2 linked regions of the Cricetulus griseus genome follow. The protein of the gene in region 1 purifies or fractionates together with the protein of each later gene. This does not show direct contact. Links are inferred from orthologs where the notes say so. Each region holds a gene or a part of one and is shown on either strand. Other genes may lie near its edges.

Region 1 (10,308 bases):
GAGTATGTGTGTGTGTGTGTGTGTGCATGTTTGTGAGTGTTGATGCATACGTGCTATGGTAGGCATGTAGAGGTCGGAGGTCAGAGGTCCTTGCCTTACATTTTGTTGGAAGCAGGGTCTCCTGTTCAGACCTGTGCATACCAGGCTAGCTGGCTTGTGAGCCTTCTAGGAGTTTCCTGTTTCCCTCTCCCATCCAGCCATAGCACACTAGGATTATAAATGTGTGGTGCTATGTCAGCTTTACATGGGTTCTAAGAATCTGAACTCCAGTCCTCACAATTGTATGGCAAGTGCTTTATAAATTGAGCCATCTCTCCAGCCCAAATTTTCCCCTTTATAAGTTAATGATCTCAAGTATTTTATTATAGTGATGGAAAGCTAATGCAACATCTACCCTGATAACTAAGTTTTCAAAGGCATACTTCTCATTTTGTATACTAAATCAGCGTCACTACACAAGTCTAAAAAACAAGCCCAGAGTAACTCAATACTCATTCTATTTGGAATTTGAGTGATTATACGAGGTCACAATGAAAGACTAGAAGAAACTAGAGCAGGAGGCCATCCTTGCTCCCTACCTTGTATCAAAATTGTCAAGCCTCAAAATACTCTTGTAGAAAACATGGTCTTGGATGGATAGATAGATAGATAGATAGATAGATAGATAGATAGATAGAAAAAATACTCTTGTAGTTTCCTTAGTTGTAGAATAAGGCAGCTTGACTTAAAGAGCCTTTTATAAAGCTAAAATTTCAACTGCCTCAAATGCCCCCACAAAACATGAAATGTAGACTTTATTTAGGCTAACACAATAAACAGTGACTCAAAAGATGGAATTGAAGCTGGATGTGGCGGTGAATACCTTTAATCCCAGCATTTGGAAGGCACAAGCAGGTGGATCTCTGAATTCTGGGCCAGCCTGGGCTACACAGCAACTTCCAGACTAGTCAGGTATACATGGTAAAATTCTGTCTGCAAAAACAAACAAAACCAAAACAAACAAACATGGAGTCAGATTATCTACTGCACGGCTCTTATTTACTAGCATTGTGATGCTTCACTTTGTCAACCCGAATGGATTTAGAATCACCTTGGAGACACATATCTGCGCATGTCTGAATGTGGTGGCACCATCCGTGGCTGGGGTTCTGGATTGAAGGAAAAGGAGAAATGGAGCTGAGCACCATCCTTCATCTCTGTGCTTCCCAACCTGGATGGGATTCAGGGAACATGCTTGTACCCAGCAGCCTCCAGCTCCCTCTTCCATGTCTTCCCTGCAGTAAGGAATGACATCTCTTCACACCACAAGCTGAAATAAACCTTCCTTCTTTAAGGATTTTGTCATCGATTTATATCACAACAATGGTAAAGTAACACACAGACACGGGTGTGCACCTGTCATTTATCGTAGACAGTATATTTTTTTATCCATCCAGACTAAGATTCTTCAAAGAAGAAACTGTCCCTTGTAAAGAGTTGGAGTCTAGATAAAACACAGCCAAGTTTTCCCTTGTTTGCTTATTTTTGGCTATGGGTACCCAGAGGTATACACTCAGGGACTGGTGCATAAGGAATACTTGTTTTCCATGAAGGCTGTTCTTGCATTGTCAAGTTGTCTCTTAGGAGATATATTTAATTTACAATTATCTTCCTACTCCATCCCCTTGCTCCCCCATAACAGAACCTGTGTTGTGAACTATTCCTTTATACTGTGTGAAGATGTGTCTCTCTGATTGGTTTAATAAAGAGATGAATGACCAATAGCTAGGTAGGAAGAGGTTAGATGGGACTTCTGGGGACAGAGAGGACTGGGGAAGAAGAAAGGGGGAGTCACCAGCCAGACACAGAGGAAGTAGGACATGCAGGAGAGGTAAAAGCCAGGGTCACGAAGCAACATGTAGACTAATAGAAATGGGTTATTTTAAGTTATAAGAGCTAATTAGAAACAAGCCGAAGCTAAGGCCAAGCTTTCAAAATTAACACGAAGTCTCCATGGCATTATCTGGAAGCTGGCTGGCAGGACAGAGAAAGACTCATTACAAACCTGTAGCCATGCAACAAATTAAAAAACAAGGACGTCCAAGTCATGAGGGCTCTGTGAACAACTGGACTATTTAATGGCAAATAACTCAGCACAGATGTGAAATCAGGAGTTTTGCAAGTTCACCTGCACAGACAGCACCTTACAATCAAGGGATTGTGAGCTGAAATCCCTTAAATTTCTGTCTATACTGAAAGTTCTGCCATTGCTTGACTAGAACATGGTGTGAGAGATCAAATGTTATAGATTCCAAGATAAAATTACCTTGGGGCATCTTGGGCCTTTTTGTAGCCATTTACTAGCCTTTATTTCCCTTTTTTCCTTTTTAGTTTTTATTCATAATCATAAACTTCACTCTGCAAACCAGATAGGCTTGGAGGGGAACCCAAAGAACTTCAATGAGAGTGGAGATCACCGGGTATTTCAAGCAGATAGTGTGGGGGACTCTCCTGTGCTACAGAAAGAGTGGTCTGGTGTGTAAGATGCCTGAAAGTCAAAAGAATTAGAGTTGTCCACAGTTGGAAATGGTTATCTTCTTACTGGACTTGCCATTCCTGGACCCAAAATGCTGGATGGCTTCCATGATGCTCATGCCTTCTTTCACCTTTCCAAAGGCCACATCTTTCATCCAGCCACACTCAGTTTTGGCTGTGGGAGAAAAAGAAAAATGGAAAAAACCCAACAAACCAACCAACAAACAAACAAACAAAAAGAACCCCAAACAAAAAAGAAAAAAAAAACAAACAAAACTGGGAATCATTTGTGTTTGGTCCAGCATTTGCCATGGACAAGATGCCAGGACCCGTATTCTTCAGGATGAAGTTCTCATCTTCAAATTTCTCCCCACAAACAGATCTGCCACCAATGACACTATGGCATGTGAAGTCACCACTTTGGCACATGTATCCTGGAACAATTCTATGAAAGGAGGGACCCTTATATCTAAATCCTTTCTCTCCAGTGCTCAGAGCACAAACGTTTTCTGCTGTCTTTGGAACTTTGCCTGCAAACATATTGAAGGAGACATGCTGAGATGTTGAAGAACACGGTGGCATTGAGCATGACTGCAGGAAGAGGCGAAAGTGGACAGTAGTGCCTACAAAGTCTGTTTCCCTTTTTAAAAATCTTCATTTTTGAGACAGGATCTCATGTAGCCTAGACTTCCCTCAAACCCTTTATGTAGCCTAGTCTGGCTTTGATCTTCTGCCTTTGCCACGGAAGTGCTGAGGTTACAGGCATGTGGTGCCCTATCCGGTTTATACAGGGCTCAGGATCTAACCCAGGGTTTCGTGTGCAGACTAGGCAAGCACTCTGCCAACTGAGCTACTTGCCCTGCCCCCATCTTTATTGTTACACTTAGCTTTATTCTCAGGCTTATTGTGTAAGCCCTTTACAGTATATTACTATGCTCAGTGGACCTCTAGCTCCCACCAACCCTGAAGCTAAGAGTACTCTTACATTGAACCTATGGAAGAGATTGATTCTCCCTGCCATATGCCTCTTACCTGACATTCCCACCAAAGGAACTCTGCTAAATCCATCGATTTATGGCTCTCTCTTGTCCAGCAACTATAAAAGTCCACAAAAGGTCAGTGAGATGGCTTGGTGGGGAAACACTTGCTGAGCAAGTCTGAACACATGAGTTTGATGCCCGGAACCCACGTAAAGGTGAAAGCAGAGAACTGACTCCACAACGTTGTCCTCTGGCCTCCATAAGAATGCTACCCACATACACATCATACACACGGACAAACTAATAATAATTCTAAAAAACATTGCAACTGGTTTCAAAGTGGACCATGCATTTAGGGCAGTGAATCTGAGCATTGCTGGGCAATACTCACTTATATTTGATTCAGAATAAACTATTTCCTTATTTCCTTTAAGGCAGTGTTTACTGTCCACTGGGTCAAATATGTAAACCACCACAAGAGCACAAGACAAGGGCTGGGTTGCCCACTTCATAATTTCTGCCAGGGCAGGGGCAGCAGTCTGACTGAATGTGGGGGTCAGGGCAGTTCTTTAAAAGTTGCATCTACACAGCAAAAAGACTTACTATATTGCCATCATTCCTTCTTGTAGTGTTATCTTGGGTGCAGGACAGGTGATCCTGACCTAGGTCAAGGAGACTCTAGAGTAGACATGAGACTTCCTACAGAGGGTACACGGCAGAGACAGCACTCCAGGCAGAAAGTGGTTTGCCGTGACCCAACCTCTATGAAGGACACAGACTTAGTTGCAGAGGTTGGAGAGATGGTTTAGCCTACACCACTGTACTGTTCTTGCTGAGGACCTAAGTTCAGTTACCGGCACCCACATCGGGGAGCATACAATTCCAGCTCCAACATGATCAGCTGTCCTCTTCAGGCCTCCAAGGGCACCTGCATGTACATATTAATACAGAAATCCACATAATTAAAAATATGTATTTTTTAGGATTTGAATTGCTCTTCAGATCCACAAGGCGCAAGAGAACCTAATCCTCAGTTATTTACAACAAAAAGCCCTTGAGATACTGCCAACACCTCATACCTGGGCCATGGCTCAGGAACATGTACATATATATATATACACTTTTTTATTCTCCCTTAAAGAAAGGAGTAGGACGCCCACCCAGTTCCACAGGCACACCCTTGCGCTGACATGTGGCGGCCTCACCGAAGTGACAGCAGCTGTTCAGACACAGCCTCCCAACGCGCGCTGAGCTCTGCGCCTGCGCCCGCCACCTGCGCGGCCGCGCTGCGCAGGCGCCCTGACCACTTCCGGGATCTGTCAGCCGCTCCTTCTGGGCCTCCCTCCTCCGTCCGCGCCCGCCGGAGCCTGTTCGCGTCGACTGACCAGAGTCCGCGAATCGTTCGCTCCGGCTCTCCGGACCGCCCAGATCCCAGGTAAGGGGCTGCAGGGCCGAGCGCCTGGCCCGGGTCGCCTCCATTTCTCGCATCTTCTATGGGACGCGGGGGCGGCGGGCCCGGGGCACCTAGGCACCGGGTCTCGACCTGAGGGGGCCCGCATCTCCGATCTTCATGGTGACCCCTGAGTCCCTGGTGCCCCCATACACACAGATCGAGCGTTTCTGAGCACTTTCCGGCTGCCCTCCGTCTCGGATGAGAGAATCGACAGCTTGGCCTCCGACACCCTCACAGTACCATTTGCCCCCCTACTGTGAGCATTTTACCACAATCTGTAAAATTGGTTCAGACCGGGCAGATCTCCCCCGAAGGCTTGTCATGAAGGCTTGCCATCTCTTCAACGTCTAGGATGTTGATTAGACCAGCCTGTGATCCGTCAGTTATTGGGGGACCCTACCCAACAAGAGAAAAGCCATCTTTGGAGTAACCTTAAGATTCCTCTGTTCTTGCCCCCTCCCGCGCCCAGTCAAAGTTGCACCTCCTATTCACTGCATGGAGTCCTTTATGTAGGACCGCCAAAGTTCTCATTTGACTCTGCCACTTTTTCCGGATGACCCTGGGAAGGTTGCTTCTTGGTGTCTTGGTTTCCCCAGCTACAATAAGTAGATTCTTAGTCTACTTAGTTTTTATTAGGTCAAAGTGAGTTTATTTGCTTAAGTTGCTTACAGTAATTCCTGGCCCAGAGTAGCTGTTCAAATAATATGAAAATAAAGGCTTCTTAGACGTTCTACAAATATCTACCTTCCTTCCCTTTGTTCTCTTTCTTCAGACTTGAAGACTAGCATTTATTTATGCTTCTGACCTCATTCAAATACTCAACATTGTTGGGAACCTGGTAGGCACTTAATAAATTGTAGCTTAGGATCTCTGATTATAAAGCCATCTGTTGTCATGCTGTGGCTTGGGAGTCTCCCTCCTATCTACTTGTTGCCCAATTTACTGAAATGACCTAGTTTGCACGCTCTTTTATCAATTTTATTTAATCTTTTTTTGTTTGTTTGTTTTTCAAGAGGGAGTTTTCTCTGTGTAACAGCTCTGGCTGTCCTGAAACTCTTTGTAGACCAGACTGGCCTCAAACTCACAGAGATCCACCTGGTTCTGCCTTCCGAGTGCTGGGATTAAAGGCATATGCCACCATATTCAGTCAGGTTCACTTAATCTTTTTGTTTCCATGTTGGCCTTAGGAATTTGGGTCTCTAGAAGTTACCAGTTTGGGGTGTTTGCCCTGTTAGAGTGAGTCTTGGTGGCTACTTCCTACCACACAATATCTGGGGGCCTTCTCCAGTTTATCTGCTGTATCCAACTGGGGGATCCTGGAAATTGCAAACTCCCTCAGAAGATGGGTGACAGTGTTTTGATCTAAATATCTAGGGTTACATCAAAACAAATTGAGTACAGGAAGTATAGAATGGTCTGATGAAGCTGGAATTTGGAGTGAAGCCTGTCCGAACATTGGTAGGGTGTGGTGACCTTGTTGGAGTAGCTCGAGTTGCTGGGTGGGTTGGGTAATGAGAGCGATTCGAAACTAGATGAATCACAGACTTGATATTGACCCTAACAGGGAATGGAAATTTCAACTTACGTGAATTTGTCAAGCACCAGTGGAGCGGGGCCAAGAAACTAACATATATCAATGTTTTCAAGTTCAGAGGGTCTTTCTAGGGGTGTCCCCAAGCTTTGTGTCAGAGGAAGAAAGAGAAGTAATTTACTGAGCTACCAAGATGGCTCTACCATTAAAGGCTAGGCTTACAACCAAAAAGACCACAGAACTAGTCTACTGAGATCAATTTTGGGCTGGTTTTGGATTGACATGCTTTTATGTGCTATCTCATTTAATCCTTCTGACACACAATAGTGTGGTGTCACTTGGAGACCTACATTACAGATGAAAAGTGACTTACCCAGCATCTCATTATGTATGTGTCAAAGCCAAGATTCTAACTCAGGTCTCCTTGTCTCCAGAGCCCATGGCTAACCATCCTTTAAAATGACTCCACTTGAAAGTTGGGATTAGTGTTGAGTTGGTAGAGCACTTGCATGGTGCGCATAGTGCCGAGGTTGGCTCACCAGCACCACAGGAAGAAAAGACAGTACTAAGTGGTAATTGAAGAGAGTGGGAACCTATGGAGTCATCCTATTTCTTCATCCTTCATTGCTAGACATGGACAACAGAAGCCTGGTTTTTGTTTGAGACAGGGTCTTAGTCCTGGTGGTCCTAGAACTCAGATCTTTCTGCCTCTGCCTCCTAAGTACCTGGCAAAATCTGTGCAGTACAATGTCATCACCTGTGGTGTTCCCTTTTCTCCTCATGAGTCTTGTTAAGATCAAACATGGCTTAAATGTCACCTGCAATGTAGAGATTAAAATTACTAACATATACATGAAGGTTTACCTTACATGGTAAAAAATTCAGGCTTAAAATAGCCAAATGATTATAAAGGAAAGACTGTGTAGCAGGCTTTCTCGACTGCCAGGCCCCAAACTATGACACGGAGACTTATTATTAGTTATGAATGGTCTGCCTTGGCTTGGGCTTGTCCCACTAGCTCTTGTAACTTAATTTAACTTGTTTCTCTTTATCTGTGTTTTGCTTCAGGGCTTTTTACCTTTCTTTCATTCTGTATGCCCTACTTTTTTGCTTCCTCTGTGTCTGGCTGGCCCCTGACGTCTCCCTTTCTTTCTCTCTAGTTCACTCTCCTCTTGAGCCAGGATTCCTACTCCTACTTATTCTCTCTAGCTAGCCCCGCCTATCCCTCTACTGCCTAGTTATTGGCCATTCAGCTTTTTTAAAAACCAATCAGGTGCCTTAGGCAAGCAAGGTGAAACAGCAACATATCTTTACATAATTAAATAAATGCAGCCAGGTGTTGGTGGTGCATGCCTTTAATCCCAGCACTCAGGAGGCAGAGGCAGGCAGATCTCTGTGAGTTCGAGGCCTGCCTGGTCTCCAGAGTGAGTGCCAGTATAGGCTCTAGAGCTACACAGAGAAACCCTGTCTCAAAAAACCAATAAATAAATAAATAAATAAATAAATAAATAAATAAATAAATGCAGCATAAACAAATACAATTTATCTTTACATACTAAGCAATGCAGCATAAGCAAATGTAACACAGCTTTACATAGTTAAAGTAATATTCCACAACAGACATATCCGGGTTTTTTTTTTTCTTTCCAAGACAAGATCTCTCTGTAGCTTTGGAACCTCTGTAGACCAGGCTGGCCCTGAATTTACAGAGATCCTCCTGCCTCTGTCTCTGAAGTAGTGAGATTGAAGGCATGTGCTACCACTGCCCAGCGAGCAGCAAGTGCTCTAACCACTGAACTTTCTCTCTCCCCCTACCCCAACAAGATGTTGTTTTGGGTTTAATATTTGACAAAATTAGAATAAGCATATCAGATTTCAGAGACAAGGAGAGATTGCATGTAGTGTGCATCTGGAGGTTTTGTTTTGTTTGTTTGTTTGGGACATGCCCAGTTATTTTTTTGTATGTATGAGTGTAAGTGCACATGTGTCATGGCATATATGTGGAGATCAGAGTACAGCTTGGTTTTCTCCTACCATGTGGGGTCTAGGCACTGAACTCAGGTCATTAGACTTGGCACTAAGTACCTTTACTCACTGAGTCATCCATCTTACTAGCCCTTGGTTGTTACTTCTGAGACAAGGTTTCTCTGTGTAATTCTGACAGTAGTGAGCCTCCTGCTCTGTCTTCTGAGTATTGAGATTGCAGGCATATACTGTCTTGAAATTAGTTTATATTTGTTTAGAGTTAGAGTCTTTATATGTAATCTTGAATCTGAGAACTCACTATGTAGATCAGGCTGGCCTAGAACTCATAGAAATCCAACTGCTTCTGCCTCCCCAGTGCCAGGATTAAAGGCATGCACTTCTATACCCAGTTGAAAGTTTGTATTTAAAAGTAAATTAAGCAGTCTCACGTGAATTCATTTTTTTTTTTGTAATTTCTAAGTAAGCCTAGCATATGCAAAGTGCTGAATTCTTTACTTTGCACCAAAAAATGTAAATAAGGAGCTAGAGGGATGGCTCAGCATTTAAGAACATACACTGCTCTTGCAGAGGACCCACATTTGATTCCTAGCACCATTATCAGTCAACTCATAACTGTCTGTAACTCCAGCTCCAGATGATTCACCCTCTTCTGGCTCTTGCAGACACTGCACTTGGGTATATAAACTCAGACAGACAGACTTACCCCAATACACACACACACACACACACACACACACACACACACACACACACACACAATTTTAAAATGTTAAAACCTTTTTTTAAACAGTAAGTTAATTAAGATGAAAGTCAAATTAAAGGCTCTTTGAGTCACAATTTGCTTTCTAGAACATAAAAAAGTAAAAATTGCAATAACAAATATTTCACTTTTTTTTGTTTTGTTTTTTTTTTTGAGACAGGGTTTCTCTGTAGCTTTGGAGCCTGTCCTGGAACTTGCTCTGTAGACCAGGCTGGCCTCGAACTCACAGAGATCTGACTGCCTCTGCCTCCAGAGTGCTGGGATTAAAGAGGTGTGCCACCAATGCCCAGCTTTTGGCTTTTTGAGACAGTCTCATGTAGCTCAGGCTGACTTTGTATTTGCTGTGTAGTTGAGGATGACTTTGAATTCCTGATCCTTTTGTCTCCACCTCCAAAGTCTTGGATTTACAGGTGTGTACCACCACATCCACCAAATATCTTCACTCTTGAGTAGAGTGTCAGTTGAAGGTAGATATCAGGTACTTTTTAGTTTTTCATCTTTGGATTCCTTGAGCAGAGTGTTTCTTTTCCATGCCACAGGCACTCATAGTTTTGCTGATTGGGTTCACCTGTTGTTTGCCTTGCAACTTTACAGGGTCTCTTCTGTTCATTTTCTGCTGGTGCCAGAATTCCTATCTCACTGGACATGGTGGCACATGTCTGCAATTCTTCCAACATTCAAGAAGCTAAGGCAGGAGAATTGTTAATTGGAAGCCAGCCTGGGCTACATAATAAGACCCTGTCATAAATGAAGAGACATTAATCACACAGCATTTGGGAGGCAGGGGCAGGAGGCTCTCTATGAGCTTGAGGCCAGCCTGATCTACATAGTGAGTTCGAGGCAACCAAGGCTACATAGTGAGAAGAAAGGACATTCCATCCCAAACACATGATCAGTTAGTTTATCTCCTGGTGGCTACAACATGATCTTACCTAAGGCAATACCATTATCATAGCTAGGAAATTAAGATAATTTCATGCTGTTATATAATAATTGAGCTCAAATTCAGATTTGTTACACAATGCATGTCTTCTGTGGTTATTTTTAAACATGCCAATTATAATCAACTGTCTTTTATGAAATT
Region 2 (10,125 bases), on another chromosome or scaffold:
CTGCCTTGTGCACTGGCCACCCACAGGATAATTAAACCTCAGGGGAAGTGGGTAGTGAATGTTTCCATTTTTAGGGTTCTGAACTCCCCTGGGCTGGGTCTGTGTGCACCAGCAAGAACAAACATCAACTCTTCCAAGGAGGGATCAGAGAGCTGAGTGGAATGTATCAACAAACCAGAGATTGTTTGGAAGGCAGCGCCATGTCCTGAATCTCTAGACAAAGCTATGCTGCCAGCTCCTCATGTAAAGGACCTCCCTCTTCAGAGCACTACAGTTCTTCAGTTTGATGGCCACGAGCCATGAGGAATGGGAAACATGTTAAAGAAACCATAGTGGTAAGCCTGAGAAACAGACACTGAAGGAAAATATTTATGTCTGTTTGAGAAGTGGACTTACACGATTAACTGTTCTATGGTCTCAGAGGAGTCACAAAGCACTTTATCTTCCTCACTCTGAGGTTTGAATTAGGACAGGTAAACACTATGTAAAACTGGAAAAATACAGAATTCATGCCTACATTTATGTCCACTAGAGACTTGCCTCCCAGACTTGCAGAAATAATAAAACAAAACAAACAAAATCCCTTGGGGCTCTCAAGGATGAAATCCTTGGCCTCAGGAATATCTGGTAGGTGCCACATTACCAGAAGCCATGGCTTCTTCCTCTGGTATGGAGTGGGGAGGTCCTACTCACATTCTTGAGGAACTCCTCAGCCACAATGCGGGCCCGGGCATTGACAGATAGCTTCATCTCACTGATCTCCTTGTCAATCTCCTCCATGAAGTGGATTACAAAGTCCACCAATTTGTGTTTGTACATCTGCTCCGTGTGGAAGTTGGTGATAAGAAAGCTGATGTCATACCCCTAGGGAGGGAAGCCAGCAGGGAAAGGAGACAAGACAAAATTAGTCCCCAGGGTCACATGGTTGTCATATCTTCTGTACACTAACACAGGCTTCCAACTGGCTACCATCTTCTCCCAAGCTACACATCTGTCCTTTAGTCAGCAATCCGCTTGCTTGGTGAGGGGCGCATATGGGCGATTGTGTGTTGTATGTGTTTGCTGGACCCAAGCAACTGAACCCAGTTCAAAATTGTGTGCGGGGTCAGATGTCCCTGAAAGAATGTGGCACAAACAGCCCTGTATTCAAAATGAGCTAAGGAAATAAAGGGGCCACAAATCTTATTTCAAAAAACCCAACTCAATAGTTTAAAAACAAAAAACAAAAAACACAGAACTGACATGGAAGAGGATGGAACTGGAGCTGTTTGCTACAGGAGGATGTGTGAGGAAGAGTGAGCTCATTTACTCTAGTGGCCCCAGAGGTTAGAGTGAGGACACAGAGAGAAGGTGGCTCAAGGTGAAAAACAGACCAACACATGGTGGCTGCTAGGTCACCAGGGAGACTTGGCAGGGAGCCTGTAGGGAGACACTGTAGCCCAGCCTCCTAGTAGCCAGGACAGGTGTGCCGGGACACGCCCATGAGGGAGTGGTCAGGAGAGGTCTAAGGTGACATGGGAATGATTCTTAAGGGACCGCGCACACGTGAATAGCCCCTTCTTTCTGGCCCCTTTCTGGCCTAGCTGCCTTGCTGCCCCTGGCACGCTCTGGCTTGCATTTGGGCTGCTGTTTATCTAAATAAAGAAATCTTAGCCTTATGGACGACGGATCATCTTTGGGCGCACGCGGCACCCAACAATCATCAGGAGCCTATGGAGTAGACTCAAGTATCTTTAAACGCAAAGGCAGGCAGCAAGCATCTCACTGTTTACTGGGGCTCTGAGAGCTGGACTTCAGCTGGGAGAGCTTAGGAAGATTTTTGTTTCATTTTTGTCTTCTTCCTTTCTTTTGTCTCAAATGCATGATTCTCCTGCCTTGGTCTCCTACATACTGGGAGTGCAAGCATGCCCACCACACCCAGCTCAGAAAGAATTTTGAAATAACTGTTTTGTTTGTGACTAGGCCCAAGATTCTTTGAAAGAGGGCACTGCACAGACCTACCTCTTCCTGGGGTTCTGTCCTCCTGCTACCATATATGGGCTAACTCAGTCCAAGCAGTAATACCCTACAGCTAGAAAAGCAGCAGCCCTTGGCCTTCAATCCCCAGACCCAGGGAATAGCCCAGTAACTTGCCCAGCAGTGCTAGGCCTTAGGTTCCATCCCCCATACTGCAAAAACCAAACAAACAAACCCAGGCCACCTAGAGACAGAATCCTGGGAATCTCAAATTCCAGAAGATAGGTCTCACCTCCACAGGTTTCCTTCGAAGAATAAAGAAGTTCTCTGCTCGCATCATCATGAAGCGCATGAACTTATGGCATAAAATCTTCTCAATCTCATCAGCCTGATGACACAAAGACAAAGACGGCTCTCCAGCAGACAGGCAAAGCCAAAATCACCCCGGGCCTGCTTGTCTGGCCCAGAACCTCCCCACTGCTGAGAGGTTTGGTGGGAACAAAGACTGCTGATCTTTGAATTGCAGCACCAGCTGCTAACTGCAGCGAGGGCCCAGCCAGGGCCACTTGGCCTTAACAGGTGTTAGTTACTGAGCTCTCATCTCACACCGGTGAGGGAACTCTGGCAAACTAGTCTTTCATCAGCTGTGATGGAGTCCACACCTGTATCTGAAGCTGCCTGACCTTCCTCATGTCACTAGTGTGGCCTTTCTCAGCATCGGTGGGACCCACCTCACAGATTTCCTCAAGGAGTGTCTGTCTTAACATTACTAAAATCCAACAATCCTGAAGTCTCTCTTTTTTCAACTCTTCCAATTACTTCTGCATCTTGGCAATCAGACACCAGTAAAGCCACCCAGCCCCCTGCCTGCCAGGGCTTCCGTACCTTCCTTTTTTTTTTTCAAAAGGATTTTATTTATTTATTATGTATACAATATTCTGCTTCCATGCATATCTGCACACCAGAAGAGGGCACCAGATCTCATAATGGATGGTTGTGAGCCACCATGTGGTTGCTGGGAATTGAACTCAGGACTTCTGGAAGAGCAGTCGGTGCTCTTAACCTCTGAGCCATCTCTCCAGCGCCCCCCCCTTCCTTTTAAGGCTGAAGGCTTTCAAAAGGTAAGATTTGTAACATTGTTTTTAACTGCTATTTTTAGAGTTGGGGCAAATGATACTATTTTCCCACTTAAGATACAAAGTTTCTTTCTTAATGGGAAATAGAATCCAGGTCAAAAACAGGGCAGTGCTGGCACAGGCCTGAAACCCCAGCACTTCGGAGGAAGAGGCAGGTGATCTCTCTGATCTTGAGGCCAGCCTGGTCTAAAAAGTAAGTTTCAGGACAGCCAGAGCTGTTACACAGATAAACCCTATCTTGAAAAACAAGCAAAAAAAAGGAATCTAGGTCAAATTTAAAAACAAATATTAAATAACCATTCAACTGATACTGAGACAGCAAGGCCCAGACCTATGTGGTAGATATTTGTCAAATATCGCTTAAGGAAACGTGTAAGAAATGGAAATCCTATTTTATACATATATGAATTGGAAGAGAAGAGAAAGCTCACAAAGAAACTGAAATATTTAAAGTCAACTGATTTCCAACAAAAGTCTAAGGTCACACAATGGCAGGAATTTCTTCAACAAATTGTGCTGACAACTGGTCATTCATATGTGGAAGAATGAAACTAGACCCTTATACCATATACAAAAATTAACTGAAGATGGATAAAAGACTAGAAGTAGGTCCTTCAACTATAAAACTACTAGAGAAAATGCACAAAGAAAACACTATGACATTTGTCTGGGCAATTACTGTTAAAACAGATCTTCAGTTCTGATAGTTTTGCCAGTGTTCTTGTTGGCATTTTTCTTTCATGATGTTATCATCCCACCCACTGCTAGCCTACACAGCTGTTTCTGAAAGACAAGCTAGAATGGATGGTCTGCTCCTTTTTTGCTGTTGCTGAGAATTCCATATGTGCATGTGTGTTGTACCATCTGTTTTTAAATGAAATGGCAGTGTCAGAAACTATGGCTATCAAACCAGTGCTGGTTGATAGTGCTCTAAGTGCACACAACCATCACCTATGTCCTTGCCGGCTGCATTTCCCTGTTTGTAATCCAGAGCCAGGGCTATGGGATAGTGTTGTTGCAGTTTTATTCCACTGACCCAGTTTTTGTTTTGTTTGTTTTTTCAGATAGGGACTCACCAAGTAGCCCAGACAGACTGGTCTTGGGTTTTCCATCTTCAGTCTCAGACTTCCATGGGCTAGGATTACACGCATGTGCAACCATATCTGCTCTGGCCAATCATGCCAAGTAAATTCCTGAAAGCAGGCTCTGAATCTAGCTCACCGACCTTTCAGAAGGGATCCCTGGCTGTGAAGAGCGCTCCTAACTGTGCCCTCTCCATGGTGACTCACCTGTTTCACAGCAATGCTGACCCGGACAGAATTGATGGAGCCCTCAATCAGAACCTTTTCCTTCTCATTCCTGCTGATAGTAACAGGTTGCAATAGGAGTTCTTTGCTACTCCTAAAAACACAAAATCAGAGGACCAAGCTGATGCCATTGACTTTCTAGGTATCTGTAAAGGTCACCACTTGAAAACCATGTATATCAAGTAACAACACAGTCCATCCTAACGTTAGAATTGTTTGAGTCACAGCAATCATTTTGGGGATATGGCTCAGCTGTAGACTGTGTGCCTAACATGCCCAAGGGCCTAGATTCAATCCCCAGCAATAAAAATACCTTCATTACCTATTTGGTAACACAACTTATTTCAACTATGTTCATCCCAGATTTTCCCCCCTTTGCTTCCTTTTTTTTTTTTTCTTCTTGAGACAGGGTTTCTCTGTATTGCTTTGGAGCCTGTCCTGGAACTTACTCTGTAGACCAGACTGGCTTCAAACTCACAGAGATCCACCTGCCTCTGCCTCCTGAGTGCTGGGATTAAAGCTGTGCACCACAACAGCCAGCTTCTTTTGGTTTCGTGAGAAAAGACCTGTTCTGTAGCTACGGCTATCCCCGACCCTGTGGTTCTATTGCTATTGCCTCAGCCTCCATGTGCTGGGATCAGTAGTCTCGCATATCCTTGCCAGGTGAAATTTCAAAAAGGAAAAATATTTATTTACTTATGAAATGAAAGCCAGACAAGACAAAACTGCATTCAAAACATGGAATATTTGGGTGTTAGAGGGTCTAAACTGTCTGGCACTATTAATGAGATAAAAAGTAAAAAAAAAGTCCTGATCCTTAAATCATTAATACAGAGATGTCAACTCTAGGAACTAAAGCCTGTGCCTTCTTCTGGAGCTGCCAGTGGCCTCAGTAATGCTACCGGAGACACTTCTCCACAGCGCTACTCCAGGGGCCACACTTTGGGCTATGTAGGTCTTCCATGGGTTTTGGCCTGTCAACATGGCCCCTTTAGACAGGGTCTGCTCTTGTGAGTTGTTCTCCTCAGCCCCATTCTGACCCTCTTCCCTACCTGACTTCCACCTCTGGCTTGTTGTGTCGTTCCACGACCTGGGAGGAGAAGTTCTCCAGACAGAGGGCAGCCTGCAGTGTGGCCCGCACGGCACTAAGGTAGGGGCGGAGAGTGGCAGTCTGCAGGAATAAACCCAAGATTAGGAAGGACCAGAGTCTACCACACCAAAGCCATTATCCCCCTGCCCCCGCCAAAGCTCCTATGGAACACACAATACTGAAAGCTTCAGGCGTGGTCATCACACAGAACAGAACACACCCAGCCTTCAAGATACAGCCCAGTCGGGAGTCTGCAGCAGTGGTTCCCAGCAGCAAACAATTCTACTTGGCATTTAGCAAAATTTGGAGAAAAAAAACTGTTATGACTTGGGGGCTGGGTGGGGACTATGGACGTAAGTCATGCCACCCAACATCTGGGATGCACAAGAATTACCCAGCCCCAAAAGCCACAGTGATGAGGCTGGGTGATACTGATCTAGATGGGTCCACGCCCTCCACCTGCTTCCTACATGGACAAATGTATTGATCCATGCCCTGAGCACACTGGGAATTCAGTCAGATAACTTCTGCTCTCAAATAACTCAACTGGATGAGATCACAAGGACTAATGGAAGGCAAAATGTAAAATTAACTAGGTTTATAAATAATCCATACTACGGAAATTAGTATGGACTAGACACAAGATCAGGAAGGTGTTTGTTTTGTTTTGTGAGACAGGGTTTCTCTGTGTAGCTTTGGAGCCTATCCTGGCACTCGCTCTGGAGACCAGGCTAGCCTCGAACTCACAGAGATCCGCCTGCCTCTGCCTCCCGAGTGCTGGGATTAAAGGCGTGCGCCATTAACGCCCGGCCTTCGAAGGGTTTACAATGAGAAAAAGTAGACCTGGGACATTCTCTGTAGCAGACAAGGTCAGCTTAATGATCAGCTACATTATTTCTCAAGTTATCTCTGTCTCCCCTCAGGGCCTATCACATGCTGGCCATCACCTGCATTCTTTCCTCCTCATTGCTTAGGTCAGTCCGTCAGAGCTCAGCTCACTGAAAAGGCCTCTTCCTTCCTCAAAGTGGTCTTCTTGACTTCCTCCTCAGTGCATTTACCAGAGTTTATGATATGTACACTTTACCATAATTCACAACAAGACATTCTTCATGTATTTTCTTAAATTGGTTCTCCTTCACTAGCTTGTAATTCTCATGGTCAACACACATTAACTTTATTCAGTTATGCTGGTTGCAACTAGCTCAGTACTTCCTATACATAGCATTTTACAAATTTCCTGTAGAGTGAACAAATGAACCGCGAGAAGCATTTTAAACTGCATAGACCAGGCTGCAATGGCAGGCTGGGATAAAAACCCTAGACAATCTAGAATGCCAGTTCACTGAGTTAGCCTTTCTCTCAATGTGGCAGGAAGCATTGGGACTTTCTGAGGAGGAAGTTACATGACTTCAGCAGAGGCTCTCTGGAGAATGGAATGGAGGGAAGTGAGACTCAGAAGAGGCACTGAGTACAGACTGGAGTGGAGAAAGCACAGCATCACAGGGGACAGCCAGACGTTAGACAGAGGAGGGAAAGGCTAAAAACACAACTAAGTTTGCACGTAGCCCGGTGCATTATGTTTTCTCTACACACTAGAGAATTCTATTTATATGTTAACCAAAAAAAGGCAAAACCGGAAGGGTGAAATTAGTAGTTGTCTGGGGTAGAGTGTACCCTTGGAAGAGTGATAGAATGTTCTCTACCTTCATTGAAGTAATGGTTATCTGATTATTTTGTTAATAGTCAAAGTAAGAAAACTAAAAGTGAATTCTAGGTGGCTAGTCCTGTGATGTCTGCCCTTTAGTGAATAGAAGGATCTCAAGTGCAAAAAAACTTAAATGCTTAAAAATGAAAAGCTACATCCTCAGTCAAAGGGATACGGCTTTCAGGCTGAGGAATGAAACCAGTTAGGGCATGGAACGCAGGAGAATGAACAAGTTTAGAAAAAGCATGTGACTTTTGAACAAGAGGGTCTAATTTCAAGGTGTCTCTCCAGAGTCGAGTCACAGGAGCATGGCAAGCAGTCCGGCATTTAGAACTGAGGTCATCAAAGCCAGCATGACCGGGGAAAGCAGTAGGAAGAGAGATGCAACAGTACGGAACACCCACAGACACCAAACCCGAAAAAACCTGGAAGGGAAGGGCCAGCGGTCATCAGCGCTTACACACATTAAGGTCAACACCGTACCGCACTACGAGGAAGGAGCCTGAATGGAGGCAACACCACAGAACCTTCATTGAGGCCTGGAAGCAAGGGGTGGAAGGGATCGAGAGTAATAAGGAGGAGTGGACACTTGCCTTGGGGTACCGTGAGATCGAGAAGACAGGCGGGGACAAGGGGGTGCACTTAGCGAATCTCTACCGTGGATGAAGAGGAGGCCCTGCTTCATTCCTCAGTGGTCCTACCTTGCAGCCGCCACCACAGACCTAGCAGCCCCACTTCCCGCCTCCTCCGAACTCTGGCGAGAGAACATTCCTTCCGGGGATGCCCAACTTGGAAGCATCCGGGCCTGCTCCTGCCCAGCTCACCTCCCAGCTCGCTCCTTCCTCCTCGCATTTGCCCTCGCCCCACCCTCTGCCTCCCCATCCTCATCGTGCCCCCTCATCCTAGGGCAACCTCCGGCCGCAAGCTCAGGCGGCAAACAGCATCTCCCCCAGACCCCACAGCCTCTCCTAGCAAGACACAGGGAGTCCCCCGAGCCCGGGGTCTCTCACCATCTCGGGTGCTGTCGCGGGGCCGGAAAGCGGAAGTGCGGAAGTGCCCGGCCCCGCGACGCCTGCCCTTTCGCGAGGCGCAGCCGCAGTCTCCGCCAGCACTTCCGGGGGGGACCATCTCGAGCAGGACCGGGGAGGAAGTTCCGAGCGACGTTCGGATCCCCTGGACGATCTCACACTGGGACCGTAGGGACTTGTAGGAGGCCTGGGATGACACAGTAGCACTCGAAGCCCCTTGGGTCTCCATACATCTCTTCCCAGCGCCTTTGGTTCTTGTCGCCTCTGTTGTAACTTCCCCCCATGTAACAATAGTACAGCCCGACCTCAGGTTGGGCACCAAATTAGGACAGGCAGAGCCGGAGAAGCCCGACGTTTCTTCCGGTGGTGCTCCCTTCTCCGCCCGGGCTCCTCCTACCGGGAGCCCTGGGGCTTGGCCGAGCAAGTGGGTCCCTGGAGATCTGGGCTCTGAGCCCCGCCCTCGCCCCGGGCTGCTTCCTAGGGGACACCTCAGGCCTAGCATTCCACCTGTCGGAGGTTCGTAGGTGGCCTTAGACCCCCCACCCCCCGGAGGCCACCGTGGGCTGGCTGTGTCCCCGCCCTCGCGTCAACTGCAGGGGGCCGGGCCCGCCCATAGCCAGTTCCGGGGCGGTTGCTTGAGAGCACTGGACTCCCCGCCCCCTCCTGCGGCCCGGGGCCTGTAGGAGGCCGCAGAGAGGAGGTAGGAGAGGCGGGAGCTGTGTTAGGGGCTCCCTAGAGGACGAGGACCCTGGAGGCGGGATCTTGGGGCGACACACAGGTGGAGCCAGCCATTAAGCAGTCCCACTTCTGTGCCAGGCACTGAACTGGGCACCTGAGAAGCATCACCTCTTAATCCTCAGAACATTCCAGGGAGGTAGGTACTCTTGATGCCCCCATTTTACAGATTGATACTTTTTAATGGGGAAACGGACCGAGGCATCATCTCTTGTCCTGGAAAAAAAAAAAGAAAAGAAACTAAGATTCAGGTTAAATAACATGTTTAGAGGGGCACATAATGGGCTGGAACTTAGTTCTGTCTGCTTGACCAGCTCGTGTTCCAAACTAGCTAGGGACGCAGAGAGGTACAAAAGTGGAATGAGGAGAGGCTGGGTGAACCCTGTAAGATAGAATGCTTGAAAGAGCCCAACAGAGGGCATAGGAAGACAGGGCACACTGGTATCTCTCTTGTAGTGCAGGTTTGAGACTTCTTGGGTTCGAATTAATCATGCAGGTTTGTAAACCTAGTTACTAGGGAGGCTGAAGCAGGTGGATCATAAGTGCAAGCAAGGCCTGTCTGGACAACTGAGTGAGAACCTGTCTCAATAAAAAATTGATGAAAGGGGGCTGAATGTAGCTGTTTGGAGACTATGTGCCTACATGCACTGAATAAGCCAGGTGTGGTTACATGCCTGGAATCCCATCACGTGGGAGGTGAAAACAAATATTCGGTTACTTAGCAAGTTTGAGGATGGGAAGTCAGGTGTGGTGGTATACACCTTTATCCCAGCACTCTGGGATGTAGAGGCAAGTATAATGAGTACCAGGCCAGCCAAGACCACATAGTGAGACTTTGTCTCAAAAAAAAACAAAAAAACAAAAAAAAACCTGAAGATAACAGCATGTGTGAGACTCAGGTTCAGTCTTAAGTGCTACCAAAACAAAAAAGACAATGAATTGCACTTAGGAGTCTGTTTCCTTTTTCATCAAAGGAAGAAAGGAAAGCATGAATAAAGCCCATCCCCCAAGGTTGTGTGTATAATTCAGTGAAGTAAGCCCCCCTCTGTACAATCAGGGCTCTATGAACAGGAACGTTGCCACCATCCGTATCTATAAAGGTATTGAATCCTGGTTTCTTTGTTGGACCTCTCTTCCATGCTACTTTGTCTCCCATCCAATGGCCTTC

What was found. Proteins that work in one complex are often made in the same cells at the same time.
Region 2: the proteins of Arpc1a (region 1) and Arpc4 fractionate together in Homo sapiens (co-fractionation; 7 studies listed by BioGRID and IntAct, with this or other methods). This does not show direct contact. The link is inferred for Cricetulus griseus from reciprocal best matches to the Homo sapiens genes ARPC1A and ARPC4.

What each region holds. Positions count from the first base shown.
Region 1 is NC_048597.1:81,464,168-81,474,475, forward strand, and holds the start of Arpc1a (actin-related protein 2/3 complex subunit 1A), read left to right. Parts: upstream 1-4,770; 5' UTR 4,771-4,929; intron 4,930-10,308. UniProt on the Homo sapiens protein: Probably functions as a component of the Arp2/3 complex which is involved in regulation of actin polymerization and together with an activating nucleation-promoting factor (NPF) mediates the formation of branched actin networks.
Region 2 is NC_048601.1:31,414,490-31,424,614, forward strand, and holds the start of Arpc4 (actin-related protein 2/3 complex subunit 4), read right to left. Parts: upstream 6,537-10,125; 5' UTR 6,443-6,536; coding exon 6,437-6,442; intron 5,571-6,436; coding exon 5,452-5,570; intron 4,494-5,451; coding exon 4,382-4,493; intron 2,345-4,381; coding exon 2,249-2,344; intron 865-2,248; coding exon 694-864; intron 1-693. UniProt on the Homo sapiens protein: Actin-binding component of the Arp2/3 complex, a multiprotein complex that mediates actin polymerization upon stimulation by nucleation-promoting factor (NPF).